Elephas maximus indicus: one gene and its partners. The protein of the gene in region 1 interacts with the protein of each later gene in a pairwise test. Links are inferred from orthologs where the notes say so. Each region holds a gene or a part of one and is shown in the gene's direction. Other genes may lie near its edges.

Evidence for each region.
Region 2: the proteins of ZBTB8A (region 1) and ZNF276 interact in binary tests that used the Homo sapiens proteins (3 or more experiments, as listed by UniProt). The two-hybrid records come from large-scale screens. The link is inferred for Elephas maximus indicus from reciprocal best matches to the Homo sapiens genes ZBTB8A and ZNF276.
Region 3: the proteins of ZBTB8A (region 1) and ARMCX1 interact in binary tests that used the Homo sapiens proteins (3 or more experiments, as listed by UniProt). The two-hybrid records come from large-scale screens. The link is inferred for Elephas maximus indicus from reciprocal best matches to the Homo sapiens genes ZBTB8A and ARMCX1.
Region 4: the proteins of ZBTB8A (region 1) and RAD23A interact in binary tests that used the Homo sapiens proteins (3 or more experiments, as listed by UniProt). The two-hybrid records come from large-scale screens. The link is inferred for Elephas maximus indicus from reciprocal best matches to the Homo sapiens genes ZBTB8A and RAD23A.

The regions. Positions count from the first base shown.
Region 1 is NC_064821.1:73,378,778-73,386,219, forward strand, and holds the start of ZBTB8A (zinc finger and BTB domain-containing protein 8A), read left to right. Parts: upstream 1-4,427; 5' UTR 4,428-4,475; intron 4,476-4,481; exon of another isoform or gene 4,482-4,734; 5' UTR 4,735-4,821; intron 4,822-7,442. UniProt on the Homo sapiens protein: May be involved in transcriptional regulation.
Region 2 is NC_064839.1:54,863,627-54,871,360, forward strand, and holds the start of ZNF276 (zinc finger protein 276), read left to right. Parts: upstream 1-4,726; 5' UTR 4,727-4,940; coding exon 4,941-5,115; intron 5,116-5,718; coding exon of another isoform or gene 5,719-5,812; coding exon 5,813-6,116; intron 6,117-6,421; coding exon 6,422-6,468; intron 6,469-6,540; coding exon 6,541-6,987; intron 6,988-7,734. Other genes in the region: VPS9D1 (VPS9 domain-containing protein 1), read right to left, coding at 960-1,122, 1,226-1,318, 2,174-2,249, 3,664-3,762. UniProt on the Homo sapiens protein: May be involved in transcriptional regulation.
Region 3 is NC_064846.1:56,625,151-56,632,376, reverse strand, and holds the start of ARMCX1 (armadillo repeat-containing X-linked protein 1), read left to right. Parts: upstream 1-4,208; 5' UTR 4,209-5,293; exon of another isoform or gene 5,294-5,297; intron 5,298-5,601; exon of another isoform or gene 5,602-5,709; intron 5,710-6,070; 5' UTR 6,071-6,144; intron 6,145-7,068; 5' UTR 7,069-7,198; coding exon 7,199-7,226. UniProt on the Homo sapiens protein: Regulates mitochondrial transport during axon regeneration. Increases the proportion of motile mitochondria by recruiting stationary mitochondria into the motile pool. Enhances mitochondria movement and neurite growth in both adult axons and embryonic neurons.
Region 4 is NC_064821.1:31,605,290-31,612,447, forward strand, and holds the start of RAD23A (UV excision repair protein RAD23 homolog A), read left to right. Parts: upstream 1-4,145; 5' UTR 4,146-4,734; coding exon 4,735-4,806; intron 4,807-6,111; coding exon 6,112-6,273; intron 6,274-6,440; coding exon 6,441-6,622; intron 6,623-6,759; coding exon 6,760-6,815; intron 6,816-6,898; coding exon 6,899-7,026; intron 7,027-7,158. Other genes in the region: CALR (calreticulin), read left to right, coding at 22-225, 612-706, 795-1,004, 1,091-1,204, 1,290-1,433, 2,038-2,130, 2,218-2,415. UniProt on the Homo sapiens protein: Multiubiquitin chain receptor involved in modulation of proteasomal degradation. Binds to 'Lys-48'-linked polyubiquitin chains in a length-dependent manner and with a lower affinity to 'Lys-63'-linked polyubiquitin chains.

The DNA.
Region 1 (7,442 bases):
TGGCAGACTGCTAGTTCAAGTCCCAAGAACCAGAGGTCAGATAATGACAAGCCAGATGCAGGATACAGAGCAAGACCAAGCTTTGCCAGAGTGTCCATATATATTGGATGTAGGTCACAATCTCAAGGAAACTCCTCTTACGTCAGATAAGGGTGTGATTTGACTAGGGCAGTGATTTGAGGTACAGTGACTTACTAAAGGCTGTGACTCAAGGTACACTCCACACTAATCCTGCCTCATTAAAATATAGAGGTTTAGGATTTATAACACATAAAGCTGAGGATAGTTACATGATACCACAAAATGGAAGACAATTGCATCAGATCATAAAATGGAGGACAATTACATGATACTGGGACCCATAACCTAGCCAAGCTGACACACAGCACTGACCATCACAGTCACCATGAGTCAGTGCCCACTCAATGGCAGCTAAGAACAACCATCCACTAAACAATGGTGTGCTCAGCCTTCTTCACTTCTCACTTTATATTCTCTGTATCCACATTCATAGTTTTAATTCTTATTTACATGAGAGTGATGTCAAAGTTTTACTGCAAGCAATTTTATCTATTAAGGTCCAGTCCCTATATCCAGCTGCTTTCTTGACCCTTTGAACTACTCAGGGTTTTTGGTCGCACGAAGACTAGCCCTGGCTGATTTAAGTAGAATGAATGTTCACAGGATTGCAGATATAGCCTATGCTAGGCAGTCAGAAACAACAGCTAAAGTCACACCACAAAACTGGCCTGGTGAGGACACCCGAACTGCTCTCAGGCATGACAGCTTGTGTCACTGATAGTGCTGGCACTGGAAAGTGAACGCTATCACTAGCAGCACGGCCACTATGGCGCCTGGAGATACTACTTTGCTGGAACTGTCACCACTGCCAGAGGATTCTTTGAGGTTTCTGCTTCTCGGTGTCGTAACTCCATCTGCAAAATCCTTGGTGAGTGCATCTGATTATCAAAGCACAGACCATTAGTAATTTCCTAGCTGCAAGGGATTCTGAGAAAGCAAGTCTCTGGTATTTCTAGATGCTATTGCAGAAAGCAAATTCTACCTCGCACCAATTACTCATAAGGTAAGGAATCCCCGGACGTATAAACGAGGTTCCAATGGTATATATACAAAAATAATGAAGATGCCAAGATGTTCAATCTGCATCTCTAATTGGACAGCTCAAAGATACCTCAATCTCAACATATCCAGGCTGAATTTATAATTTTTGTGGCCCTCTTAGCCCCCTTCCCCCCAAAAATCTGGTCCTCTTCTAATCTTTTCTCTCCATGAGTAAGACCACAATCCATCCAGTTTCACAAGCTAATGGGCTTGGAGTTGTCTTTGACACTTCCTTCTCCCTCACTCCCCGTAACCAACCTATTACTACCTCTAATATTTATCTCTCTTGGTCTCTCCACTTCTATCCATCTCCTCTGCCTTCACTTTACTTCAAGGCTCCATCATCTTTCAGCTGGACTACTGCAATTCACTCTCCATTAGTTATCCAGTGCTGCTATAACAGAAATACCACAAGTGGATGGCTTTAACAAACAGAAATGTATTTTCTCACAGTTTAGGAGGCTAGAAGTCCGAATTCAGGATGCCAGCTCTGGAGGAAGGTCCTTGTCACTTCCTGGATGATCTTCATGTGAGTTGGCATCTCTCTTCCCCCATCTCTGCTTCTTTCACTTGCTTGTTTAATCTCTTTTATATCTCAAAAGACATTGATTTATGACACACCCTACACTAATCCCGTCTCATAACATAAAGATAACCATTTCCAAATGGGATTATAACCACAGGCATAGATTTTAGGATTCTGGAGGAACACTTAACACTTCCCTTCTAATATATTCTCTAACAATAAGGCCAGGGTCATCTTTTCAAAATGCTTATCTCATCATGTTACACAGCCCACAGAGCATAAAATACATCAACGGCTTCCAAACTTAACATGGCCTACAAGGTCCTGGCTGGTCTGGCCCTTGCTTACCTCTCCTGCCTCATCTCTCCTCACTGTCCCTCATTCTGCATGCACTCCAGCCTCTTCAGTCTTTCATACTATGCTCCCTCCTCACGAGAACCTCTGTACATTTTGATCCTTTTATTTGGAATACTTCCTACCACTCTCACCTTCGCCTACTAATTGCTACTTCAGATTTTCAGTCAAGATCATTTCCTCAAGGAAGCCCTCCCTAAGCCTCCTTCCCCCGTAAGACAGATAACGACATCATCTATATGCTGACAGCACTACAGACCTCACCTTCATGATTTATTAAATTTTTTAAATTATATTTATTTGATTACTGTCTGTCTCCCCCACTAGACTGCCAAGTCCCATGAAGGCAGAGAGACCAGGTCTATTTTTTGTTAAACACTGCATTCCAAGAATAAACCACAGAACCTTATCCATAAAATCAAAATACCAAACCCGTTGCCATCGAGTAAGTTCTGACTCATCGTGACCCTACAGGACAGAGTAGAACTGCCTCATAGAGTTTCCAAGGAGCACCTGGTGGATTCAAACTGCTGAACTTTTGGTTAGCAGCCGCACCACTTGGCCACAATGCCACCAGGGTTTCCAACCTTATCCATAAAAAACCAAACCCATTGATGTCGAGTCAATTAGGACAGAGTAGAACTGCCCTAGAGAGTTTCCAAGGAGCGCTTGGTAGATTCCAACTGCTGACCTTTTGGTTAGCAGCCATAGCACTTAACCACTATACCACCAGGGCTCCCCCCACCTTATCCATTAAAAAAAAAAAATCCATACCAAACCAAAAAAACCAAACCCAGTGCTGTCGAGTCGACTCCGACTCATAACAACCCTACGGGACAGAGTAGAACTGCCCCATAGAGTTTCCAAGGAGCGCCTGGCAGATTTGAACTGCCAACCCTTTGGTTAGCAGCCATAGCACTTAACCACTATGCCACCAGGGTTTCCACCTTACCCATAAAAAAAAAAAAAACATAAAAAAGTAGGTGTTAAATAGCAAAACCAGTTGCTTTCAAGTGAATTCTGACCCATGGCAGCCCCATGTGTTTCAGAGCAGAACTACACTCCCTAGGGTTCTCGAGGGCCAGGTGCTTTCAGAATTAGATCACCAGGTCTTTTTTCCAAGGCACCTGTAGGTAGATTCGAATTGCCAATCTTTCTGTTAGCACCTGAGTGTTTGTCTGTGCCACCCAGATACTCCTAGGTGCTGAATTATACCTCTTAAAATTGGAATGAATGATTTCCCTCGAGACTTGGGACTGAAGAGTGGGGGGTGGGGGGAGTAGAGTTTAAGAGAATAAGCGCTCCTGAATTGGTTAATGGTGCAGCACCAGCAGAGAGAAGCACCAACTCTTGAAGCTGAGAGGGTGAAGGTGAAGAAAAAAATCTGTCTTGGACCTCGTTGGACCTTCCAGTTTCAGTTTTTTAGGAGGACTGGCTGCACAGCTACTCACGCTCACTTCTCCCTTATTAATTAAATCATAAACTCCTATTTCTCCTTTCTGGCAACCATGTCTGTAGAACTATTTTGCATGTTTTAATTAACTTAGGCTAAAATGAAAACTTCCTGCTGTAACAATGTCTAGGCCTCTCTGGAAGAATTCTCAACGAGGGTGCTAGCAGAGTACACTCAACACTCCTGATACCTGATGGTTTTCAAATATGTTTTCATGTTTGATAAACAGATTCTACCTGTTCAGAAGATGAGGAGACACAACTAAATGGCAACACACCTCTGGAGTAATACAGAAGTGATTATTAAGAGATACTTGAATATTTTTTATCCTTCCCACAGAAGGTATGATCCTCAAAATCACAGCAAATTATTGTTGAAAGCAAAGTAATAAACTTCATTCAATATGACTCATTATGGCATAGGAGAGGAATCCACTCAAAAGCTAAATATGAGTTTTGAAAATTTGAGTCTTTTTTTCAGTTTTACTATATGATACTGTACTTTTCAGTACCTGGCCCCAGGACAAGGAACTAGAAAACTAGTATGCAGAATTAACGCTTCTCTAGTAACAGTGAAAATTCAGTGATTTACTATTTTAGCAAATGTATATACTGATGTTTGTACTAAATATTAGAAACATAAATGTCAGAAAGCTTGTTGTAACAATGAATTTTTATATTTTAAAACACAAAACATGCTATCTGTACTGATTTTATACTTCCTCTGAACTAAGAATTATGTTCTTATTTCAGCTTCTCTGGATTTTTCCTCTTCAAATAAAATGCTTGTCACCTATAGAGGTTTAGAAAAGGTTACCCCTGACTAAAATAATTGCTTCAATAAAGAGAAAAATTCTGTGGAAATCTCTTACATTTGACGTTGCTAAACTTAAGTACAATAATGTCACATGTACTTATACAGTAATTGTGGGCACGCCTAAGTCCCTCCCTCTTCCCTAAACCAAATTCCCCAGATCCTAGAAATCCAGCCTTTCTGCCCTCCGGAGGCGCCTTTCTCAACGTAAAGTACAATTTAAAATTTAAGCTCCTGACTAAATAATGATTCCGCAGTCAACTGCTAGAGAATCTGGGCACCCAGTGCTTCTGGAGGGTGCATCGGGGTGTAGGCAAGGGCAGGGGGAGTGGGCGAAGCTGCTGGTTGGTGCCTGAAATCTGTGCGTTGCCCCTTTAATTGTGTCCCCAGCCCTCGGGCGTTTCTGTCCAACGCCCACGTCAGCAAATACCTTTTGTTTCTCTCACGTTGGGGCTACTTGTTTTAGGGCGCAAAGGAACGGCTTCGTAAAGGGGTTATTTCCCCCGCCGAGAACCTGGAATCTTCTCCCAACCCGCGCGCACGACCCGTAAGGGTAAGTGGCTGCGCGCGGCACGGGCGGAGGGCGGGCGGGGCGTCGGGGCTGCCCGGGACGGGCCCGCGAGCCTCTCTGCTGGCTGAGGCGCCTCCGGCTCCGCGGGCTCCGACTGCCCGGGCGGCAGCGGCGCCGGGATGCGGGCCCGGGGCGCGCCGCCCCCAGACGTTCTCGGGCCGGCGGCGGGCGGCGCAGAGGCCAGCGGGCGCCATTTGCAGCCCCGGGCGCAGCGGCGGCGGCGGCGGCGCGGCGGCTCCGAGGGGCTGGAGGTGGCCACAAAGGAGGCGCGGAGAGCTGGGGCGGCGGGCACGGCCTCGGGGCGGCGGCCGGGCGGCCCGCGGGACAGGCGGGCGGCGCCGGGGCGCACCGGCTCCCGCGCCCGCCCCGCCCGCGTCTCCCCGCCCGCGGGACCGGCCCCTCCTGCGCGCCCGGGAGGGACTGCGGGACAATGGCCGCGCCGTCGCCGCCCGCCCGCGCTTGGCGGTCCCCGATGAGCGCGGCGCCCGCCTCGCCGCCCAGCCCGGCCGCGGCGCGGGGAAAGGCGGGAAGGCGCGCAGAGCCTCCTGGCGGCTGCGGCGGGAAGCCGGCGCCGGGCCGGTGCCGGGCGTGTCTGGAGCCGTCGGGCGTCGCGGACTCCGGGAGGGTCGGCGGCCGGCCGGACACGGGCTGCGCGGCTGAATGACGGGCGGCCCGCCCAATGGGGCGGTGCGGCAGGCGGGGCAGGGACCCGGGGCTTCTCCCCGCGCGGTCCCGGGCGCTTTATTGGGAGGGTGGCTCCCCGTGCGGTAGCTCGAGTTTCTCAACACGTTCTCCAGCGTTTGGTTTTGTATCCTGATGCAACAGATCTGGGCATAGAACCGAAGGCAGGCGTACTACACCTAACAAATGGTGAGCAACAAGATTCGTTTTATGACGGAGCCAGGCGTCCACATCTGCCTGTGCCGACTGCCCGTTCCGTAAATGAGCCGTTTGGCCCCTTTATCCCACCAGTGCGTTTACTGACGGTTGATTGTACGAATAGCCAGACTCGCCGTCTTTCCAAGACCTGTGTGGAAGTGTTGGAATCGCACTTACCGGGCTTTTAACTAACTTCCTCAGTAATACCTCTATTTTTAATAAACCTTTATATTTGCAGAACTTTTATTTCGTAAATGGAGTGCTTTCATTTGTAGGTATTTCACATAAAAGAACCACCCAGTCAAAGTGATGGCTATTTCATTTTCAGATGAGGAAACACTGTTTGACCCTCTAGGCCAGGGGTGAACGAGAAAGAGGGGGACCTTCCAATGTGCCTAGTCTCCTGGTCCTCCTCCACACCCCCTCCTAATGGCAGCACCTCCAGAAGAATATTCCAGAGGAGCAAGCTAGTCACATAGCTCCCTGGCTCAAAAAGCCTTAACAGATCTTTATCAGAATAGAGCCCAAACTCCTCAGCAGAGGATTCAAGCCCTAAGTCTCCACGTCCTTTTTTATCCCCCCGCCCTGAGCAAGAGCCCTTCACTCATAACCAGGGACCAGACCCCATTAGTCCTGGGAACTTTGCTGGCCACACAAGTGGTAAATGAGAAGTGAGAGTCGGTGGCCTGGGACCCTTCACCCAATGGGCGTGTGTGGAAGTCAGCGTTAACACATCAGCTGGAGGCCACGTGAGGGGGCGGCTCCTTCCAGGGGTATGGCCATTTAAATTTCTGATCCCACGAAAAAGGCCACCAGGCCAGACCTTACCTCATAGCCCTGAAATCAACGGCGTTGCTGGTGATTAATGATTTGGGCCAAGCAGAATCATTGTAACATAGGGTAATACTTGATTCCTCCTATATCATTTAAATCTGATTTTCTAGATAAAGTAGAATTTCCGTCTAATGAGATTAACCCCTTCAGTGATATACGTTTGTAATGTTTGAAGGGTTTGATGTAAGCTTTTTCATGTCCTTGAGGGAAGTTTTTGTCACTTCTCTGTCAAAGTCCATCAGTGGCTCACCATCTCATGCAGATTAAAAGCCAGAGTTTCCCCAACTCCAGCTGTCTGCAAGGCCCTGTAGAAATTCATTCCACCTACCTATGTCCTCCTAGAATCTGGCTTAACTTTCTGACTGTGTCTTCCATTCCTCTTCCTATGACTCCTTGATGTTCCTCCAAGCCTCCTAGCCGGCCTCGCCTCACCACCTTAGCACTTGCTCTTCCATCTGCCTGGAACACTCTTTCCCCAGATATCCATGTGACACTCTCACTTCCTTTAGGACTTTACTCAAATGTTATCTTCCCAGTGAGGCCTTCTCAACTATGGTTTTGATTCTCTTAAACATTGTTACACTTAATTCTAAATCTTTCCAGGTTTAAAAGACGTTTACCCACTAAGGAAACCCTGGTGGTGCAGTGGTTGAGTGCTACGGCTGCCAACCAAGAGGTCGGCAATTCAAATCCACCAGGCACTCCTTGGAAACTCTATGGGGCAGTTCTACTCTGTCCTATAGGGTCACTGTGAGTCGGAATCAACTCTACGGCAGTGGGTTTGGTTTTGGTTTGGTTACCCACTAAAGAACACAATTGGCATTCCAGTTGACTGAAGTTCCTTATGACCCAGGAATTTTTCACCCGAGAGGCTAACTAGATTCTTTTTC
Region 2 (7,734 bases), on another chromosome or scaffold:
TCTACTCAGGGCGGTAGAGGGTAGGTCCAAGGGAAACAAGACTGAGGAGGGAAAGTGTTTCCTGGGATGGAAGTATTGTGCCCACAGCAATACATGCAGAGATGAGGTGACTGAGGGGTTGGGAGGAACCTCCTGAAGAGCCTGGAGGGCTGGCCAGAGCAGGGCCAAGAGGAGCAGGTCCTCCTTGTTTGTCCTACTTGGGATTCACTGGGCTTCTTGCATCTGTGTCTTGATGTCTTTCATCAATTCTAGAAAATTGTCCACCATTGTCTTCAACATAATGACCCTCTGCCATTTTCTTTCTCTCCACCTTCTAGAATGTCAGTAAACTTATGTTAGACCTTCCATCGCTCTTTTATTTTTTTTTTATGAAGCATTCTGGGTGTCTTTGACTTTTCTTCCAATCCACTAATTCTCTCTTCAGCTATGTCTACTCTCCTGTTATAAACTTGTCCACTCCATTTTTTGTTTTTTTGGCTTATTTCTACTAGAAAACATATATATATATATATATATTAGTTAGTTTTAAATAGTAACTTCAGTTGCATTTTTCATTTCTAGAAGTCCTACTTAATTCTTTATTTCCTCAGTCAGATTTTATGTTTTCTTGCTCAAGATTTTATAATTTCTTGGTTTCTCTAGATATAAAGAACATAACTGTTTTATAATCTGTGTCTGATGACGCCAATATTTGGAGACTTTGCAGGTCTGTTTCTGCTGTCATTCCCTAATAGTTTCTTGTTTCCTCATGTGTTTGGTTATTTTTGACAGTGTGTTATTCAACTTTATGAAAAAGCAAAATGCTTTCCTCCAAGTAGGTTTTGCCTTTGCTTCTCTCAGGTACAAGGGAATTCCCATTCTGGGACCTATTTTGACTAAATTTCCGTGGCCAACTCATATTGCCCAGCCTCTAATCCCAATCCCCAGGCTCAACTCACACCCCATTTTGCCCATCTTACTTTTTAGAGTTTTGTGACTCCACCATCTGAAGCTTCTGGAAGATTTCAGGAGGTAGAAAAGGAGAGAGCTTGCCCCCTTCATCTGAGTACACCCGGCGGTGTCGACTGGTTGGTGAGGGTACTGCAGCAGTCATAGGCTTGGCTGGCTTCAGGCATGGTTTCCCTGTAAGCCATACATGGCCACGGGTCAGTAGGATGGCCCCACATTCCATAAAAAGACACAGACTTGGGTGTACTCAGGAAACCTCCCTCTGTTGGAGACCCACCCAGCTTGGCAGCAGTTGATTGGGCCCTCTCCAAACACTGTTCAGCCAACTTCAGCATCTTCGAGGTGTCTAGGGGCACTGTTTCCCCGGCTTCTGGGGGAACAGGAGAAAAAAAGGCCAGTTACCTTCAGCTGGACTGCTAATCAGATTCTTGCTGAAGTGAAAACAAGGTATGGGAAAGCTGGGTTTACCTCTTGATTTTGAGGCAGATTCCAGGCTTGGCCAGCCCAGCATCTGATTAACTTTCTTTCCCTCACTGGAAAGGGGACCTTTGGAGTTCTCTACCTAAACAAGGCCTTTCTTTATTCCTCACTGAGGGCTTTTCCTGTACTCTACCCCTCTGTGTGAGATAGGCCATGCAGCTGCTATGTCATTTCACAAATAAGGACGTGCTGAGAGAAAAACCTCATTTCTCGGCACCCTATCACTCGCCTGTGTTTGTACACAGATCTGGCTTCCTGCCTGCTGCTCAAAGTGTTTCATGGTCTTTTCCTCACATCAGAATGACTCCAATGCCAACCCAAGGTACCCAGAGCTCTGCACAACCTGCCCAACCCTAACTTCACCTTCTCCCTCTCCACTGGCCTTCCACAAACACACCACCCACTCCTACCTCAGGGTCTTTGCACATCCCTCTGCTGGGAATGCCTTCTCCAGACCCTGGCATGGGTCACTCCATCCATCAGTGGGTTCAATGTCATCTCCTCAGGAGTGCTTCTGTGGCCTTTCCCATCACACCCCACCCCAGCTCTCCATCCTCTTGCCTGCAGCACCTGTCCGTTCTGGCCCCTGCATCATGCTATTGCAGCTGGTGCTTGCTGAGTGCTATTGGTCCACTTTCTGCTAATGATCATGCTGGCAGGAGATGTCCAGGCCTGAGACTCTCTGAGGGCTATGTTCCCATGATTAGCCCAGCATGGGGAGGACCTGCGACGTTCAGAGCCATACCTTTGGTCATTTCTGCTTCTTCCAACAGAACCTGGGAGATGTAGTGAATGCTCCTCAGATATTCTGTATATGCCTCCTGTGCCCAGGGAAAAGAAATGGCAGGGATCAGGGCTACGGAGGTGAATGAGTCCATCGCACTTGCCTGGTGCCCCTCCAGGAAAATGCAGTGCCTGGACCCACAGAAACAGCAGTGCCTGCTTATCATGAGATACACCAGAGACATCTAGTCTGCTGTAGTTGGCTGGTAATTGTGCAGTAGTCTAATGATAGTATCCTGGCTCTCTAAGACTTGAAGGAAAAGATGTCAGCACCTGCAAACAACGCCAAAGCACATCTTCCTACAAGATCTGCAGTAGGCACTGGGTGCCGAGACCAGCTGGACACCAGTCCTCCTTTCACTGCGCTTCTTTCTGGCAGAGTAGGGCTGGGAGCAGCCTCAGCAGTTGCTCTCACTTTTTACGCTCTATAATTTTTCTTCCTGTGTCATGACTCAGGAGCCATTCATTCAGTGGCTTTAAATAAGTATTTCCTGTGATGTTAAAGAGGTATGATATTGCAAATCTTAGAATTACTTCCTGCCTTAGGTTTTGGAAAATCCCTCTCCTGATCCTCAGGGTGAGTACCCCTCAGCACACAGCAGTCAGAGGACTAGTGCTGAACACTCTCTGCTGCTCAGGACATTAAGAACCATGGCATGATGGTTTTTTGTCCTTTTTTTGGCATCCCAGTTATCAAGCCACCCGTCTTAAGTCTACTCAGAGGTAAGACCAGGGCAGATTGTGGACAGGGTTTTTGACTTGTGGGGGCACCTGGTGTCCCAGAAAAAATGTGGGAGAAGCAGCAGATTCAGAAACTAGGATGTTTTTCTTAGGCACGCACAGCCTCTTCCCTACCCTGGGCAGTCTGGTGTGGCCCAGGCGGTTTTTCTACCTGGTCCCCACCTTGAGAGTCAGCTCCCAATCTCAGGAACAAGCCACCCTTTCCACCCCCTGCATTTCCTTCCAGACAGGCCCTGAACAGCCAAAGCAGCACTATTGGGCTGACAGTTAATATTTTCTGGATTCGGTCCCCTTTGGGAATCTGATTAAATCTACAAAAAAGGAAGAAAGGATGCACACACAAAAAACTCTGGGGGTTAGTTCACAGACATTTCTGAATCCCCTCTACAATATCATCTCAGCTCTGATTCCCCGACTCATTGAACAGGCGAGAACACTGAGGCCCGGAGAGGGCAGTGAGCTGTCCAAGGTCGCAGAGCAGGGCAAGACCTCAGCACCGCCGGGTCCAGCCTTCTTACCCCAAGGTGGGCGTGGGCGCCCCCAAGTGCCGAAGCTCGGGCAGGGCCGAGAGCAACCTCGCCGCCTGGCCGGCTCTGCCCTCGCCCACCCGGCTTGCAGCAGGTTGGGGTCCCTCCCGGCCGTCGCCGCGACCGCCTCCCGCCCCCGCCCGGGGGGCTAACCTCCGCCGGACCCCGCCTCCCCTTGTCTCACCCGGGGTCGGTTGCCAGTGTCCAGCTCGATGGCCCCGTTAGCCAGCTTCATAGCGCTCTGCAGCGGCTTCACCGCGCCATCCCCGGCCGCAGCGGCCATGGTGCGGGGCGGGGGAGGCAGTGGTGGCGGTCAAGGGGCGGGGCGGGCGGTCGGGAGCCCGGAACTCTGCCTGCGCGGGCAGTGGAACGCCGGAGCGACGGACCGCCGGACGGGGCGGTCCCTGCTGGAAGCACTTCCGTCGTCCTGCTCCGCCGCAGGAGCAAGACTCCCGCGGCAGAATGAGCCAAGGCGAGAGTGGCGGAACCATGGCCTGGTAATCCGAGGCCAGGCCCTGCTAGGGTCCAGGAGCGGACTCTGGACCACGGGCCTCGGCTTGCAGGCCGGGTCTCCCCATCTGGGAAAGCGGATTAGCGATGACAACGTCTTCACGTAGCTGCCCTGAGCGCCGAGCCCTCGCTCCACGTCCAGGACCCCTCTAACTCCGAACAGTCCCGCTAGTTGCGCTTTATGATTTTGGTACTTTTCTGTATGTGTATGTACTTAAATAAAAAATTGCAAAAAAGAAGAAAAAATCAAAGGAAACTTCAAGCAACATGGCTAAGTATTCTGAAAAGCCCTCCAATGCCGAAAGGCACCGTGCTGGCGGACCGAGCAGGGCCTACCACCTCCGTGCGTAACTCTTGGGGCCCAGCGTCTGCCCGTCAGCGCCTCGTTTCCCTTCCACAAAGAGGTATAGCGGGTCTGCTGTCCCTCACGGGCCTGCCACGAGGTTTAAATGAGTCGCCGTACGTCAAGGGCTCAGCCCACTGCCTAGCCCGAGGCCGGCGCTCTCTAGGCGTCAGCGCTGGGCACTATTCCTCTCGCGGATGGAGCGGGAAGCGAGCCTGTGGACGTCACCGGGACGCTTTCAGGGCGGTACAGCCTCAGAGATTTGGACCGCGGCCCGCACGGGCCCCGCCCCCGCCGCCCCCTGCCCCCTGCCTTTAGCCCTGCCCCCGCCACGCCCCGCCCTCCATCCCGCCCCACCACGTCCCCGCCCCCTGCCATCAAGCCGAGTGAGGCCGAGCTGGGCCGAGTGGAGCCAAGCTGAGCCGAACTTAGCCGAGTGGGGCCGAGCAGAGCCGAGCGGGCTCGAGCGGAGGCGAGTCTGACTGTGCTGGCGGGCCGAGCGGGGCCGAGCGGAGCCGAGGGGTACTGAGCGAGCGGGCCGAGGCGAGGCCGCGCGCCGTGCGCGGTGCGCGCAGCGGGCCGGGCCGGGTCTAGGTGGGGTCGCCGCCATGAAGCGGGACCGGCTCGGTCGCTTCCTGTCGTCCGGGGCGGCCCGACAGCGCGGGGGCCCGGGCGGTGGCGCCTGTGGAGGCGGCCGGGCTCGGGGCCGCCCCGCCCGCAGCTGTGGGCTGAGCCCGGATGGGACGGCGGCGGCGGCGCCGGAGGACGGCGCTGAGGAGGCAGGTATGTGGGCCTGACTTGGGCCGGGGGCCGGGGGCGCGGGCCGGGTCTCTCCTGGAGGAGGGGCGAAGAGGCGGCCGAGCGGTCCGGGATGGGGGGGCGGCCCGGCACGTCAGGACCAGCGCTCGGGGCGGGGTGGACTGGCCGGGGGACGCCGGGCTCGCCGCGCTGTGACCTTGAGGTGGCCACTCACCCTCTCTGAGCCTCAGCCCTTCTCCTCAAGCCGACCGAGGGGTCGCGAGGACCAGGGAGTTACTGCTCGGTGGGCCGGGTGGGCTCTGCGTCACCCTTCTGGGCGGAAGGGGAGCCCAGGTGCCAGCACTATCACTTCGAGTTCCCCGGGCGGGGGAAGTGGGCCAGGGTGAGGGGGCATGGTGTGCGAGGCGACGGGGTGAAGGTCGACGGGGCTGGGGGGCCGGGTTGAGGGGCGCTTGTGTGAGGGGGGCCTAGGCGAGACGGGCCGTAGTCGGAGCTGTGGAGATATTTAGGATATTTTGAAAGTTTTTTTTTGGACTGGAAGTTCCTCTAAAAAGCTTTGTCTCGGCCTAAATGTTGAGCTGGGAGCCCAGCACTTTCCTCCGCTTAGGTTAGTGGTCTTTGGCTTAGGGCGCTTTTTCCCAGATGCCCAAGCTGAGCAGAGCAGCTGAGTTCAGGAGCTGGCCTCCCGCTGACCATTCATGTCCCCCGCTGCTTTGCCCAGGACCAGGCCGGGCGCTCGCCATGGGGCACTGCCGCCTTTGCCACGGGAAGTTCTCCTCAAGGAGTCTCCGCAGCATCTCCAGCAGGGGGTCTGGGGAAAGTGTGGGGAGAACGCCCCCTGGGGAGCGCATTTTCATCAGGGATTTCCAGCGCCTTCTGGGGGTGCCCGTTCTCCAGGATCCAGCCCTGTCATCCTTCGTCTGCAAGAACTGCCATGCCCAGTTCTACCAGTGCCACAGCCTCCTCGGTTCCTTCCTGCAGAGGGTCAACGTCTCCCCAACTGGCCGCCGGAAGCCTTGTCCAAAGTAGGCACTCACTGGCCAGGCAGTGTCCTCCAGGCACCTCAGGTGCTGTTCTGGGGGCAGGTGTGGGAGCAGGCCTGGCTGGGAACCTCTGCGGAGGGCATATGGTGTGAGCACCACTATACAAGCGTGGGGAGTGAGGTTCAAGCAGGGCTATGAGACGGGGAGGGCAGGGTGGTTCAGGGAGAGTGGATAGTATCTGAAGGACAGCAGGACATTCAAGACCTTGGGGACAGCCATGAAAGTAGGACAGAGCTTTGAGCTGCTAGGTGTGCTCCTCCTGCTCATGGCCACACAATCCTTTGCAGGGCCGGGACTCAGTCCCAGACTGCTGCAGAGGAGGGCACGTGTCCGGGTGAGTGTCCGGGTACACGGGCAGCCGGGGTGGCAGGTGCTGGCCAGGGCTGACTCTGTCGACTCTCTTCAGCGGACCTGGTCACATGGAGCCCCCGGTGCCTGCAGGCCCTGGTTGGGTGGGTGCACGGGCACGCAGCTGGCTGCGGGGCCCTGCCCAGCCTGCAAAGGATGCTTTCTTCTGAGTACTGCGGCGTCATCCAAGCTGTGTGGGGCTGCGGCCAGGGCCACGACTACGTCATGGACACAGACTCCGGCTGTGGGGCCCTTGTGCTGGACAGCACGCTGGCGGTCAAGTGGGAGTGGGACAAGGAGACAGCCCCGCACCTCACCCCCAGTCAGGGGCCCAACCCTGCTGGGGCTGGCCCCCAGCACTCCCAGGGCAGAGGGACCATAACTGAGGCCGAGACAGAGGCACTGCCCAGCATGGATGCGGCTCAGCCTCCCTTGGATGGCAGTCCTGTGGGGTCTGGGCAGAGCCCCCCGCCCCAGCCAAGTTCACCCCCCAGTGGGGTTCCAGGTAAGAGCCTGTGCTAGATCCAGGTTCCCTCGTCCTTAGCGGGGGGGGGTTCTGGGTCGCTGCAGAGGAGATAAGCGGAGATGGTGGGGGAGTTGGCTCAGCCCCTTGGAGGAGCTTTCAGCTGCATACTAGACTGAGGAAGTCAGGGCTGCCAGCTGGTTAGGGCTGTGGGCCCTTCATGGGAAGCCTGTCTGAGCAGTTTCTGTAAAGACACGTGTCTCAGATCTCCAGTCTTTCTCTAGCCTCACACCCTGGGCAGAGGGTACTGGCTGTTCCCGTGGGCTGAGAGGCCTGAGGGAAGAGAATAATGGAGCCCTTGTCCATGGGGTTCGGGGGAAGGGTGGGCTGCTGCTGCTGAGGCTGATGTTTTGGGCCAGCTGCAGGTCACTCCCTGGACCTCAGCCAGCCGTTCTGAGGACACTCCAGTGGGACCAGTGTGGACAAGGGAGAACACAGGCCCCTTATTTGGGGCCCAGATCCCATGATGGCTGCCTGGGGACACTGGTGTTAGGAGGCTAGGGGTCAGTCTTCGAGCCTGCTGCTCTCGATCCTCATAGGTGGCACTTTAAAAAAGTGCAGCTTGGCATGGGTCGAAGGGCCTTGGGACAGGGTTGGCCAGGGGGTCACTGTTGCTTCATGAGCATCTTAGTACCACTTGAATTTTTAAACTATGTGCACGTAATACTTTGATAAAAATGGTTCTTTAACTACTTGAGAACACCCACAGCATATAGCTAACTCCCCACC
Region 3 (7,226 bases), on another chromosome or scaffold:
AACAAAAATCCTCACAACTGGACCAAGTAGCAACATCATGATAAGCAGAGAAAATATTGATATTGTGAAGGATTTAATTTTACTTGGATCTGCAATCAACGCCCGTGGAAGCAGAAGCCAAGAAACCAAATGATGTATTGCATTGGGCAAATCTGCTGCAAAAGGCCTCTTTAAGGTGTTGAGAAACAAAAAGATGTCACCTTGAGAGCTAAGGTATGCCTGATCCAAACCATGGTATTTTCAATCACCTCATATACACGCGAAAGCTGGGCAATGAATGAGGAAGACTAAAGAAATATTGACGCCTTTGAATTATAGTGTTTGGGAAGAATACTGAATATACATACCATGGACTGCCAGAAGAATGAACAAATCTATCTTGGAAGAACTACAGACAGAATGCTCCTTAGAAGCGAGGATGGCAAAACTTTGTCTCATGTACTTTGGACATGTTATCAGGAGGGACCAGTCCCTGGAGAAGGACATTGTGCTTGGTAAAGCTGAGGGTCAGGGGAAAAGAAGAAGACCCCCAGTGAGTTGGATTGACACAGTGGCTGCAACAATGGGCTCAAACTTAACAATTGTGAGGACGGTGCAGGACCGGGCAGTGTTTTGTTCTGTTGTATGCTGGGTTGCTATGAGTTGGAACTGACTCGACAGCACCTAACAACAACAATAACGCTTTCAAGGTTCAACCACTTTATAGTATGTATCAGAACTTCATTTCTCTTTATGACTGAATAATATTCCATCGTGTACCACATTTGTTATCCATTCTTCTATTGATGGTCACTTGGGTTGTTCCTACCTCTTTCTTGTTGCAAATAATGCTTCGATTACATATAAACTTTTTTTTAAATCTATGTGACCCTACCCATTGCTGTCAAGTTGATTCTGACTCATAGCGATGCTATAGGACAGAGTAGAAATGCTCAATACGGTTTCCAAGGCTCTAGTCTTTACAGAAGCCGACTGTGACATTTTTCTCCCGTGGAGCAGCTGGTGGGTTTGAACTGCTGACCTTTTGGTTAGCAGCTGAGCACTTAGAGCTTAGCTACTGTGCAATCAGGGCCAACTAAAAAGTTAGGAGTGATTGTCACAGGGTTTATCCTAGGATGGGGTAGATAGGCTATCACAATGTTTATCAGACGGGTGGAGAATCTGAGACATTTTTATTTTCTGCTTCCTTCTTTTCCTAGTCAATACCCGCTTTCCTTCATGTCAGCTCAAGTTGTACATCCCTCCCTGTCCCCCACAAGGAGGCTTTCTCTACAGCCAGACTGTACCACTTCTTTTACTACATTAACAGTTCTCCTTTCCTTCGCAGTGTTTTTCTCTGTGCCTATGTGTATTTAATTCAATAAGGCCTTGTGTCCCCTATGAGACCAAGGTCAGTGCCTGCTTTTGCTCAGCTATATTCCCAATAAGCACAGCACTTGTGGCAGCTCTCCCCACCTCCCAATATTATGATATGGACGATTGTATTTTCTTCAGTCTTAAATATAGGATTATGAAAGTGCAACTTTTATACATCCTTTCCCTCTCAATCACAGATACATAGAAGAAGAATACATCAGAAACAAACTGCGTTCACTACACTAAACAGTGCAATATTAAGGGCATTCCCATTAACTAAAAGAACAAGATCAGGGTGCCCGCCATCTTCTGGAAGTTCTGGTCAATATAATCCATCCAGAAAAGGAAAGAAAAAGATGTACGAATACTGGAAAGGAAGAAATGAAAAATCATCACCTACAGATGGTTATGTATGCATACCTAGAAAAGCCAAAGATATCAACTGAACAACTATTAAAAATAATAAGAAATTTCACTAAAGACAAATATATCATAATTAATTACTTTTCCTTAGACAGGCAACATGCCATTCACAAAAGCACTAAAGTAACCTTAACGGTAACATTAACCATGGAATAAACTGAACAAGTAATGAGTATGACCTACCTGAAGACGCTTATAAAGTTTATCGAAGACCATAAAAGCTGACCTGGATAGAAATACTCAATTTTTAAAGAGGTCAGTTATTCTCAAATTAAAGTGTAGCTGTATTGTAAATAAATACCAATAGTCTTCCTTAAGTATACTGTTGTTCAACTTGGAACTTGACATACATGAATACATATATTTTTTGTATTTGCATGAAAAAAGGTGGAAATTGTTGAAGGTGGTTGGTGGTGGAACAGGCTTTGCACTCTACTTCATACACTTCGGCATTGTTTTCATATTAAAAAAATAAGGAGCATGTGTTACTTTCATGAGAGAGAAAGAGAGACAGAGCCAAAGACAGATTAGATATTCCTTTTGGGGGGTATGTTTTTTTTCTAGGTGAGTAGTTCTTAACTATTTTTTTTAAGTCATAGTTGCCTATGAGAATCTTATGAGAGCTATGACCCCTCTCCCCACTAAAATGAACACAACTTTGCATACAATTTCAGGTAGTCCACGGACTTGGTCAGGTGAACACACCTACGCTAGCTTTATCAGTATGATCATGGGGAGAATGCCTTAGGCTCAGTCATAAATTTGCCTGAGGGGGCACCAAGGTGGGTGTGGACTGGAAAACAGTGATCCTGCATCAAGGCTAAGTTCTTCCTGGATGCCCTGGAGTTAAGGAGACCAGAGATAAGTGGCCCAACAGGGTGCACTTCTCAGGCAAGGTGGGTGTCAGCAGTGACTACAGGCAGAGAGCAGGCAGGCCTGGGTGCTCTCCTCTCAGCAATCACTTCTTCAGGCTTCTTGAAAACCACCAGCTTCAAGGGTAGGTGGGAATAGCAGTTCTCAAAGGCTGAGTTTCTTCTTGGTGGATTTGGTGGAGAACGGGAGGAGGGAAGGAAAGAGCCAAAGGCAGCTACTCAGGTCACCAGCTTGGTCACATGTCCATGTATATTTTTGGAGTGAGCAACAGTCAGGTGTCTGAAGCAGGGGATGTGATGCTTCAGAATATGGGAGAGGTGGGGGAAGCAGCACATTCCCCACTTCTTTACAGGGCAGGGGGGATTGGGAGGATCAGACCATCTCTGCAGTCCTCAGACCCTCAGCTGCCTTGGACTCAATAGAGTGGAAACTAATCCAGGAGCAGGTGTTCAGAACAGCCATCAAATCACAGGAGGTTCACAGAGCAGTCAGCCAAGTCTTTGGGAGGTTAAATACATGATTTTCTGTACTAAAACAAGACAGGACTGTGTTGCTTTTATTTTAATGACTTATTTTATCAAATTGCAAGGTGATCCAAACCAAAAACCAAACCCACTGCCGTCGAGTCGATTCCGACTCATAGCGACCCTATAGAACAGAGTAGGACTGCCCCATAGAGTTTGCAAGGAGTGCCTGGCAGATTGAAACTGCTGAACTCTTGGTTAGCAGCCGCAGCACTTAACCGCTATGCCACCAAGGTTTCCCCGCAAGGTGATCCAGAAAAAGTAAAGGATTATTTACATAAAGTGGCCAAGATTAGACAACTGGCATCTCTTCGTGGACAATTAGTAGATCATGCCAAAATCTTGCTGATTTTGGGGTGGTGGTGGAAGAAATTCCAGCTTTCAATTTTAAATCAGATACCTATGTTTTGAATGCTGCTATTCAGCTGTAATCAATAGAACCATTTTCCTGGTGTTACAAATAAATGTAATGAAATTAATGAGGCCTTTTGTTTTTTCCTCCTTCAAGTTAAATCTTTCTCCACACAAGTGAAAGTAGCATTATTTTGTTTTCTCAATACAAAAGCAATGCATATTGATTTAAAAAATGAATATAAAGTTTTCAGAATAAAGTAAGACACTGATTTCCACTCCCTATCTCCTCTTCTGAAACCCTGTCCCCTCCACCCCTCCATTTCCTACAGGGGTGCAGGGGCAATGTTGGGCCTTCATGGCTGAGGGAAGGGGATGCGAAGGGATAGGCGGCTTGACATGGAGCAGAGAAGAGAAAAACATTATTCCTCAAAGGGGCAGAAAAGGTCAATGGCCTTGGAGCAAATGCAGCCTCTTTCTGTCAACCAAAGAAAGGAAAATCTAACTCCAAGGAGAAGGGGCTACTTCTGGTCTGTGGGATTGGCAAAGAGGAAAATGAATGACAGGACCCGATGTCGTGGGGAAGGGAAGGGGGCGCGGGCTGGCTCCTGCCGCACTGCTGGTGGGAGTGGAAATCGAGGTCCTGAGCTCACTGGTGACGTGGCCCTCACGTGAGCAGAGCCAAGGAGTGCAGACGTCCTTCTAATCCTGGGCTACATTTGGTTCGGTTGCCAACCCCCTATAGCCTTGAGGGTTCGCGAGCCTGTGTTCCTGGGGAAGGAGGAGGAGGTATCTGCCCCATCTCAGCAGGTCTGTGTGTGAATGGGAGCTGCCTCGGGACCCCTGCGGTGCGGTAGTGGAGGGTGGATACCGAAGGGGGACACAGCCTACTTTCTCTGCTCCCTTGAACTATACCTAGCCATTTCAAAAATAAAAATAGTGGATTTCGGGGGCCGTATTCCGGGGGAGGCTCCAGACCAGGAGAGGGGAAACTTTTGGCATCCTAGATGTTGAATCGGAAAGGGCAGGTATTAAGGATTAGTGTCCTGTGTGCCGGCCCATGCACCAAACCAGAATTTGGGGGCTGTGCGTCTGCCTGACCGTCTGTCATTCCACCTTGTCTTCTTTCAGTAGGGCGCTGTACCAGTAGGAACAAGGGAATAAAGAATCTGCCCCAAATCCTTGCAGGTCCCCAGAAGGGCGAGGATGGCTGAGGTCCTTGCCTTATCTTGGGCCCGTTCCTGACTCTCCAGCAATCTTCTTTCCGTTTTATACAGGCAAAAGATGTGGCAGCGCTCACAGGAAAAACGGCTATTATTAGGGGCGGGGATGGGTTGGGGAGGGGACTGGACAGATCGTTTCGCGCTCCGCTGGTTTTCCACACTCTCTCGCCCCGCCCCCTCCCTTTCCGCGGCTGGAAAGAGGCGTGGTTTTGGCTGGGAAAATGGCTGACCGCTGGGGGGTGGGGATGGAGCGGAGGGGGTCGGGGCCGGGGACCTCGGGAAGGAGAGTGCTGGTGTCAGCCGAGTCCTAAGAAGTGGGGGTAGGGTGAGAGACAAACGGTGGAATCCCTTTGACAACCAGGACCCTGAATTCAGAAAAGCAGGTATTGGGACCCTCTCGAGTGCTGTTCTGTCCGCGGAGTCCTCCGTCTCTGCCTTGTCGCCTGTCGGTGTCTGTGACTCTTGCGCCTGAAGACCAATCTGCAGGGTGACGCCGAAGCCTGCCGAAGCCTACCGAAGAAGAAGAAAATTGTCCAGAACCAAGTAGGTGAGAGCGAGGTGGTAGCACTGCTTCGAGCTCCTGGGGTGGAGGATGGTGGAGACCGCAAACTCGAGGGGGGCCGTGGGTCTCCTCCACCTCCCCCTTCCCTCCTCTCTGCACACTATTTCGGAGTTTGGAAAGGAAAGGACTCTGCAGCTCTAAGCCAGGGAAGGCAGTGGCTGAAGGGGACGGATTCAGGAGAGTCCTGAGGTGGAGGTGGGGAGGACATTGTTCCGAATAGCAGGCACACGCTGTCTTTGTTGTTGATCCACGCACCAAACGCTCAGTTCCAGAGTTGTTTATTCCTTAGGTTTCGTGGAGGCGGAAACCGAGGGAGGGAAGAAGGAAATTGCTCCGGAGCAGTGGAAGTTGGTATAATGGTGACAGGGATTGTCCTGGTACCCCTGAGATAGTGGAGGTGCGAAGCCAAGAGCAGAGTTCCCAGACCTTTATGCATTTCACACCTCTCAGGCTTCCAGACACTGTCACCCCACCACCATCCACTTTGTTACAAGGAGGGGGGTGTGGCGTCATCTTCTGAGGAAGTAGCTGGGGGGGGAGGGAGGGGAGGGTCAGAGGAGAGGATGGAAGGAGGAGGGAGAGGGAGAGAATGAGTTTCAAAGCAGTGCCTCTGAGTGGAGAGTAACTGAAAGTGGGAAAAGTTAAGCAACACAGGGGGAGGGCCTGGGATTCATGAGAGGGAAGTGTGTCCCTACTGATGTGAGGGCCATCTGTCCCTAGAGCTCTCAGCATCCCCCTCCTGACCCCCTTGCCTGCAGGTTTTCAGGAGGCAGTGCACCTGCACCTTGAGGCAAGAAAGAGGAGAAAAAAGAAACTGCCTGCCTAGATCAGTGTGAGTATATGTGAGGGCGCTACTGTCCTGGGACATCTGGAAGGGCAAGGTGGTAGGGGACTGATTGTTGTTAGGTGCCCTCCGTTCAATTTGGACTGATAGTGACCCTCCCATGTGAGAGAGTAGAACTGCCCCATTGGGCTTCCTAGGCTGTGATTTTTCGACAGGAGCCATCACCAGGTCTTTTCTCCTTTGGAGCGGCTGGGTGGGTTCAAATCACCAGCCTTTCTGTTAGCAGGGCTCCTTGGAAACTGAATCCAAAATCAAACCCGTTGCAGGTGAGTTGATTCTGACTCATAAGGACCCCGTAGGACAGGGTAAAACTGCCCCATAAGGTTTCCAAAGCTGTAATCTTTATGGAAGCAGACTGCCACAGCTTTCTCCCACACAGCCGCTGGTGGGTTAGAACTGTTGACCTTTTGCTTAACAGCTGAGTGCTTTTAACCACTGCACCACCAACACTCCAGGGAAATGGTTAGAAACTTTAAATTTAATGCACTGGTGTGGGGCGGGAGAAGCCCTGGTGGTGCAGTGGTTAAAAGCACTCAGCTGCTAACTGAAAGGTGGGTGGTTCCAACCCGCCAGCTGCTCTGTGGGAGAAAGATGTGGCAGTCTGCTTTCATAAAGATTACAGGCTTGGAAACATTATGGGGCAGTTCTGCTTTGTCCTAGAGTGTCGCTATGAGTCAGAATTGATTTGACTGCCAGGGGGTTGGTTTTGTTCTTTTGGAGAGTGGGTTGGGGGAAGGGGAGGTCGGAAACTTTCCAAAATAAGCTCCTTAGGAAAGGACTAGGTGGTTTAGATACCAAGCCCTGGGCCTGTGCTATGTCCATCCCTTTCTTGGTCTGTGGTTCAGTATGTCTGCATGCAAAGGCACAAAAGGAGGAGGAGTCTGAACCCTCAAATCTTCCCTTTATTTCTAGATTCCACTTTCTCTGCAGCTGCAAAAGAACCTGCCAGCAGTAGCTGAAGCCTCCAGCTCCTGACTCTTCTGGGCCAGAGGGAGTCCACTCCGCCTGCCCCTGGGATTCAGAAATTCTCCCCAACTGTACCATGGGCCGCACTCGGGACGCTGGCTGCG
Region 4 (7,158 bases), about 42 Mb from region 1:
CTCATCACCGTTTTATGCCAGGGCTGCAGACAAGCCAGGACGCCCGCTTCTACGCCCTGTCGGCAAGATTCGAGCCTTTCAGCAACAAAGACAAGACGCTGGTAGTGCAGTTTACTGTGAAGCATGAGCAGAACATCGACTGTGGGGGCGGCTATGTGAAGCTGTTTCCTGATGGTTTAGACCAGGCGGACATGCATGGGGACTCTGAATACAACATCATGTTTGGTGAGGGGCCCTGCCCAGTGGTGACTTCTGTACCCTTCCTTTGGGCTCTTCAACCGTGAAAGGTGGTCCTGAGACTACAGAAAGAACTTACTGACACTCATTTCCATAGCAGGAAAGCTAGGAGAATAGATACAGTTAGCTGAGTTTATGCTGGTGATTTATAAGTGTCTGTGTTATCGTTAGTAGCTGTTGCCTCATTTTATAAATGAGGATACTAAGTTCTGCAGTGATAACTTTTTAATTTAAGGTTCTACACACAGTCTATTAGACTTAAAAGATGGTCTATACTAACATACGGATTTTGAGAATGAAGTCTTTTGCAAAGAGGGGTGGGAGCTCCTGGTGTGGGCAGCCTTTGGCTCTAACTGAACCTGTTTCCCACTTAGGCCCTGACATCTGTGGCCCAGGCACCAAGAAGGTTCATGTCATCTTCAACTACAAGGGCAAGAACGTGCTGATCAACAAGGACATCCGTTGCAAGGTTTGCCTGGGGGTGGTGGCAGAGGGCTTCCAGGGAGGATCCAAGGCCAGCCGGGTGGGCGGGACCACTCACTTCCCGCCCTCTCCAGGATGATGAATTCACACACCTGTATACTCTGATCGTGAGGCCCGATAACACCTATGAGGTGAAGATCGACAACAGTCAGGTAGAGTCAGGCTCCTTGGAAGATGATTGGGACTTCCTGCCACCCAAGAAGATAAAGGATCCCAGTGCTGCCAAGCCTGAAGACTGGGATGAGCGGGCCAAGATCGACGACCCCACAGACTCCAAGCCTGAGGTTGGTGCTTAGGCCAGGGCTGTCCACAGTAGAGGGTGTGGAGGACAGAAAGCCAAGCTGACTCTGACCTCCTTGTGTACGCCCAGGACTGGGACAAGCCTGAGCACATCCCTGATCCCGATGCCAAGAAGCCCGAGGACTGGGATGAGGAGATGGATGGAGAGTGGGAACCACCCGTGATTCAGAACCCTGAGTACAAGGTGGGCTTGGGGCTCTGAGTAGGGCTGGGGTGTATGGTGGAGAGGGCACAGAACTTTGCCCACCATCAGGTTTTATCCTCCACAGGGTGAGTGGAAACCCCGGCAGATTGACAACCCAGATTACAAGGGCAAGTGGATCCACCCAGAGATCGACAACCCCGAGTACTCCCCTGATGCTAACATCTACTCCTATGACAGCTTTGCTGTGCTGGGCCTAGATCTCTGGCAGGTGAGGCACAGCGGGAGGAGGAAGGAGGATCCTGGGGGGGAGGAGTGACAGAATCTTAACCCAGAAGACAAGGAACAGAGGAGGTAGGATTCAAATGCAGGTAGGTCTGACTCCAAAATGATCCTTTTTCTGTTCTTGAAGTATTTCCTGGCCTGTTTTTAGGGAGCACTTGCTGTGTGCCAGGTAGTTTTCTCAAATACCTTTATTTGAATCAACTCAATTCTCCCAGCCCATAAGGCGGTTAGATCACCCCATTAGAAGTTTGCATTTGTAGTTCTGAATTTTTGTGTGTCTGTTTCCTTGTTCACCGGTGTATATTCCGCCTAGAAGAGTACTTGGCACGCAGTAGGTACTTGATAACTATAAGTGAGTGAAGAAATGAGAAGTAGCAGAGCTGGGATTTTAAAGTCAGGTGGGTGGACTGCAGTCCCTGTCTATTTTTAACTGTAATATTAGCAATGCTATTCTTCTGTACATGTGTTTATAAAGAAATGTAGAGACCGAGGTAGCATAAAATGAATATAGGAACACAGATGTGAGCCTCGTCCAAGGCTAGGGCCACCAAGTGTCATCTCTAATCACTTCTCTCTCCACTCACCCCCAGGTCAAGTCTGGCACCATCTTTGACAATTTCCTCATCACCAACGACGAGGCCTATGCTGAGGAGTTTGGCAACGAGACGTGGGGTGTCACAAAGGTGGGGCCGGCCCCAGGCCTGGGTTTGGGGGTGGACAGGGCTGGCAGGTAGGGGACAGGCTCTGAGGTGTATGGTCTGGGCCCACAGGCTGCAGAAAAGCTCATGAAGGACAAGCAGGACGAAGAGCAGAGGCTAAAGGAAGAGGAAGAGGACAAGAAGCGCAAGGAAGAGGAGGCGGCAGAGGACAAAGAAGAAGAGGAGGACAAAGATGAAGATGATGAGGATGAAGAGGACAAAGAGGAGGATGAGGAGGAAGATGTGGGCCAGGCCAAGGATGAGCTGTAGAGGCCATGCCACCTGCCTCTGGGGCTGGACTGAGGCCTGAGCGCTCCTGCCACAGAGCCGGCCACGCCAAATAATGTCTCTATGAGACTGGAGAACTTTCACTTTTTCCAGGCGGTTTCAGATTTGGGGTGGGTTTTGGTTTTGTCCCCGCCTCCTTTTTTTTTTTTTTTTACTGGTGTTTTGTCTTTGATTCTCCCTCAGCCCCCACCCCTGGGTCTCATCTTTCTTCACATCTTTTCCTTCCTCTGTTCTCTGCCTGAATCCCTTAGTTCCTTTCCAGCCTGGGGGTCAGGGAGTGGGTGTGGAGAAGCCCAGGCCTGAGATTCCATCTGCTCTCCTTCCTGGAGTCCGGGGGGCATCAGGAGAAAGGGGTGGCATCCCAGCGCCCCCAGCACTGAGAAAGAATGGGGCTCTTAGGGCCCAAGCTCTGCCCCCACTTTCTCCCTACTCCCAGGACTGGGCCACTTCTGGGTGGGGCAGCAGGTTCCAGCTCAGCTCATACTGAGAATGTAAGAACTACATGCAAAATTTCTATTAAATTAAGTTTTGTGTCTTCCTTCTGTGTTTCCTTTTTCGGGGGAGGATGGACATCTGGGAACCAAAGATGGCCTTTTTTTCGGGGGGGGGGGGTTGGCTCCTAAGTAATGGGTTCTCTGAATTTTCATTTTTCAGCTGCTGAAGAGTTGGCTGAGTGTCATCCCACAAGGTTACAAAGGCCCTTGCTTGTCTAGTGAGCCCAAATCGGAGGATAACTGTTAAAAAATATTCCACGTATTAACTCTTTTAGTTCTGTTACCTATTTGCTTTGATTGTGAGGAGACTGAGGCACAGAACTTAGTGGTGGGGCAGGGATTTCAATCCACACCTGAACACTGTCTCATGGTTTATCTCGTCATTGAGCTTTTTTCTGTCCCTATTACCTAATGATTACATGGCTGTTAGTGCTTTTAAACTTTTTTTTAATACCAGCTGGAGTTAAAAGCTATTTACTTTTATAATCGAGGAAATAGGTTCAAGCACAACCCCAAGTTCCTGTGGTCTTCTGTAGCCATAGCCATGATGGGGTCTGAACCCGTTGAGGGGAAAGAGGGCTTGAGGTAGTGCAGAGAGAGCAGAGGTGGAGATCCAGGAAGCTGCCTATGGCAAGATGGTGAAAGCCCAGTGAGGAGGATGGGGGAGTTGATGGACCCTGTTTCAGGAGAGGGTAAGAAGCTGTAAGCTGCTCCTGGCTGGTGCTGGTGGAGGTTTGCATAGGCTCAGGGCATGGAGTGGAGAGAGGCAGCATGACTTGGTTACAGTTGTTGGGCAGTTGGTGAGGACTGTCCAGTGCCCAGCCTGGGTGAGTTGGATGGGAACTGTGAGAGCAGCAGGTTTGGAGGCAGCTAATGATGGTCAGTTGGGGAAAGGTCAGGTTTGTTGCCACAGCCTCCTCTGGCCTCCAGGCTTCCAGTTTCGATACCCTAACTGGGAATCAAGCCTGCTCCTCCAAGCCATCCAGTCTCAAAACACGGGCTTTGTGATGGCAAACCTAACTCCCCTTGTTCCCTCCACTTGCTCCTTCATGCTTCCATTCCTTTGTGTGCGCTGTGGCTATTTATTGGAAGGAAGCCTTTTAAGTTAACGTCTTCATTAAGTGTTTTTGGAGTCAGACCCAGGATTCTGTGACCAAAGTGGCTGGACAAATAGCAGCAGCGGTGGGAGGCCCCAAAAATCATCCTCTTCAGGAGCGAATAAGTGAAACCACAAAATCGTTCCAGTGCTCCTTCTGTTTCCACGCCCAAATGAGTTTTTCTAAATTGTTGGTGACTTTCCAGGTATCCTTTCCCATCTTGAGTAGTTTCCACATTCAAGGCTCCACAGCTGGAATAATACAAAGCTCATTTGAATGGGCAAAAACATGAACATTTAACAGAAGAAATGTAAGTACATAACTTTTATTCAACGTCACCAAAAATAATTTTTTAAGTCACTTCCGCGTGGAAGCAGGGGAAACCGGAGCCATTTTGTGACCACATGACGTCACCGCTAACCGGCATGGCGTCACTCCCAGGAAGCCACGTGACGGGTGGGCGCGCTGTGCAAGGAGTCTCCCCGCTCCCCAGGAGTGGTGTTAATCTGCGCATGCCTGGTCAGAGGACGCGCAGGTCCCAGCCCACGAACCTAAGAGCCACGCGCCGGTCACGTGCACGGTGGCCGGCGCGCGCACCATCTGCCCCGGAAGCGGTCTGCGCGCGGCGCTGCTGGGCGCTAAGATGGCGGCGGCGTGAGTTGCATGTTGTGTGAGGATCCCAGGGCCAGGATCCGTCGCTCGGCCCTGCCATGGCCGTCACCATCACGCTCAAAACGCTGCAGCAGCAGACCTTCAAGATCCGCATGGAACCTGATGAGACGGTGCGGGCCGGGCTGAGCCCCGCGGGCAGGAGCTACGACGGGTGCCGGGGGTAGGGTGGGGGCGGGGAGGCCGGGATCCCGGTGAGAGGGGCGCAGAGGTGGGTGCGGGTCAGGTCCTGTCGTCTCCCCACCTGCCGGACCTCCTCGGATCTCCTCCATGGTCCCCGACCCAGCCCCCAGCGGCTCGGCCGCTCCCTGGCGAGTCTTGGGGCGAGGCCCCACCCCCGGGGCGCCCGCCAGGCCCCGGCTCCAATGTCAGTGCTCTCTCGCGGGGCGCAGGAAGCCGTAGGCTCGGATTCCCGGCCGGGTCGCGCTCTCCAGGGCGGGGGCTCCCGCGTTCCCGGCTTTGCAGGCAGCTTCTCGGAACGTTGGCAGCTGAATCCAGGATTGGTGATCGGGAGATGCGGAGTGATGACAGCGATGAAGATGATAATAAACGGTCGAATCGTATTGGTTTTAGTGGTCCATTTATTCTTTACTAGTTGATTGAGCTTTTTGGTGCTATTGTCTTACTAAATGTGTAAAACAGCTTGTTGTTTGGAAACTGATATTCTTCGTTTTACTACAGTCATATATAGCTAATAAGTGGCAGAGCTAGAATTCTAATTCTATTCTGCCTAGTGTGAGAGCTTACGGTCTGAACACTACGCTGTTTTTGGCTGGAAGGAGCTTAGGACTTAAACGTAATAAGTGTGTTAACCGGTGTACTTGCCACTTTTTGCACAGCTACCCCCTAAGAGAGACATTAAAACCCACTTTTTGTAGAAAAGAAAATAGACTTATGTTTTTTGACCAGCTTATTTGTTTGATTTTGGGCAAGTTGCTTAACTTTCCTGTCTATTTTGGCAAATATAAGATGAGAACTTACATGTGTATGATAACCTATACATGTAGGATAGTATTAGTGACATAAGATGTTTTAAGTAAATATTGTGTAGTCTTAATGCCCAAGGTTGTCAGCATAGAATGGGGGACGCTTCTTTTTATTATTTTTCAGCACACTTTATGTTATTTAAAAAAATATTCCTTTTGTTCTCCGCACACCAGTGTCGTTTCCATGAGAGCAGGGCCATGTGTTGAGTTTTATTTTCTGTGACTTCAGTGCCAGAAACAGCACCTGGCACATAGAAGGCACTCAGTAAACGATCTGTTGAACGGTGGGATGGTTCAACAGATTCACATCTGGTACGCGTGGCTATGAGGTTTAGCCTTTCTGCCTTTCAGGGCTTGTAGCCACTCCCCCCAGACTGGACAAGAAGAGGGACTCCTGGGGGGTTTGCAATGGCTCTGTATTCTTTCGTTCAGGTGAAGGTCCTAAAGGAGAAGATAGAAGCTGAGAAGGGTCGGGATGCTTTTCCCGTGGCTGGACAGAAGCTTATTTATGCCGGCAAGATCCTGAGTGACGATGTCCCCATCAGGGACTATCGCATAGATGAGAAGAACTTTGTGGTTGTCATGGTGACCAAGGTTGGTGAAGCGTGCTTGCTGGGAGGGTGTGTGGATTTGCTGTGGAGCTGGCTAAGAGCACATGTGCCCAGGACAGATTAGCCACGAGCAGGGTGGGGCTGCAATAAGGCGGGATATTGGAGCTTGATAGGGGTGCTAACACCGTTCCCTTTTCCTGGCTACCACAGGCCAAAGCTGGCCCAGGCACCTCGGCACCCCCAGAGACTTCACCCACTGCTGCCCCTGAGTCCTCCACATCCTTCCTGCCAGCCCCTGCCTCAGGCATGTCTCATCCCCCACCTACGGCCAAAGAGGACAAGAGCCCATCAGAGGAATCAGTCCCCACGATGTCCCCGGAGTCTGTGTCAGGGTAAGGCAGAGGGGCAGTTCCAGCTTGGGTTCTGTTCTCCCAGTACATTCCAGTACCCACATACGTGGTCCCATGCACCTGGAAGGAGGGCAAGCTGGCAAAAGCCAGGGTCCGATTTCTCTCTCTTGAATTTGCAGCTCTGTTCCCTCTTCAGGTAGCAGCGGGCGAGAGGAAGATGCGGCCTCCACGCTAGGTGGGTGGGTGGTCCCTGGGTGTGGGAGGGCCTGGGTGCTGCCCTTTCCTCTCCCTGGTGACCCAGGCCTTCTTCCTACACAGTGACTGGCTCTGAGTATGAAACGATGCTGACAGAGATCATGTCCATGGGTTATGAGCGGGAGCGGGTTGTGGCTGCCCTGAGAGCCAGCTACAACAACCCCCACCGTGCTGTGGAGTATCTGCTCACGGTGAGGTGGGGCTGCTGCCTCCCCAGGGAGGCTTTGGAGGGCATCCCAGAGCCTTGCTGCACTGATGGGCATTCAGGGAGCTAAAAGCTGTCCCCAGAAGACTGGGTGGTGGTTCCGACCAGATAAGGCTTC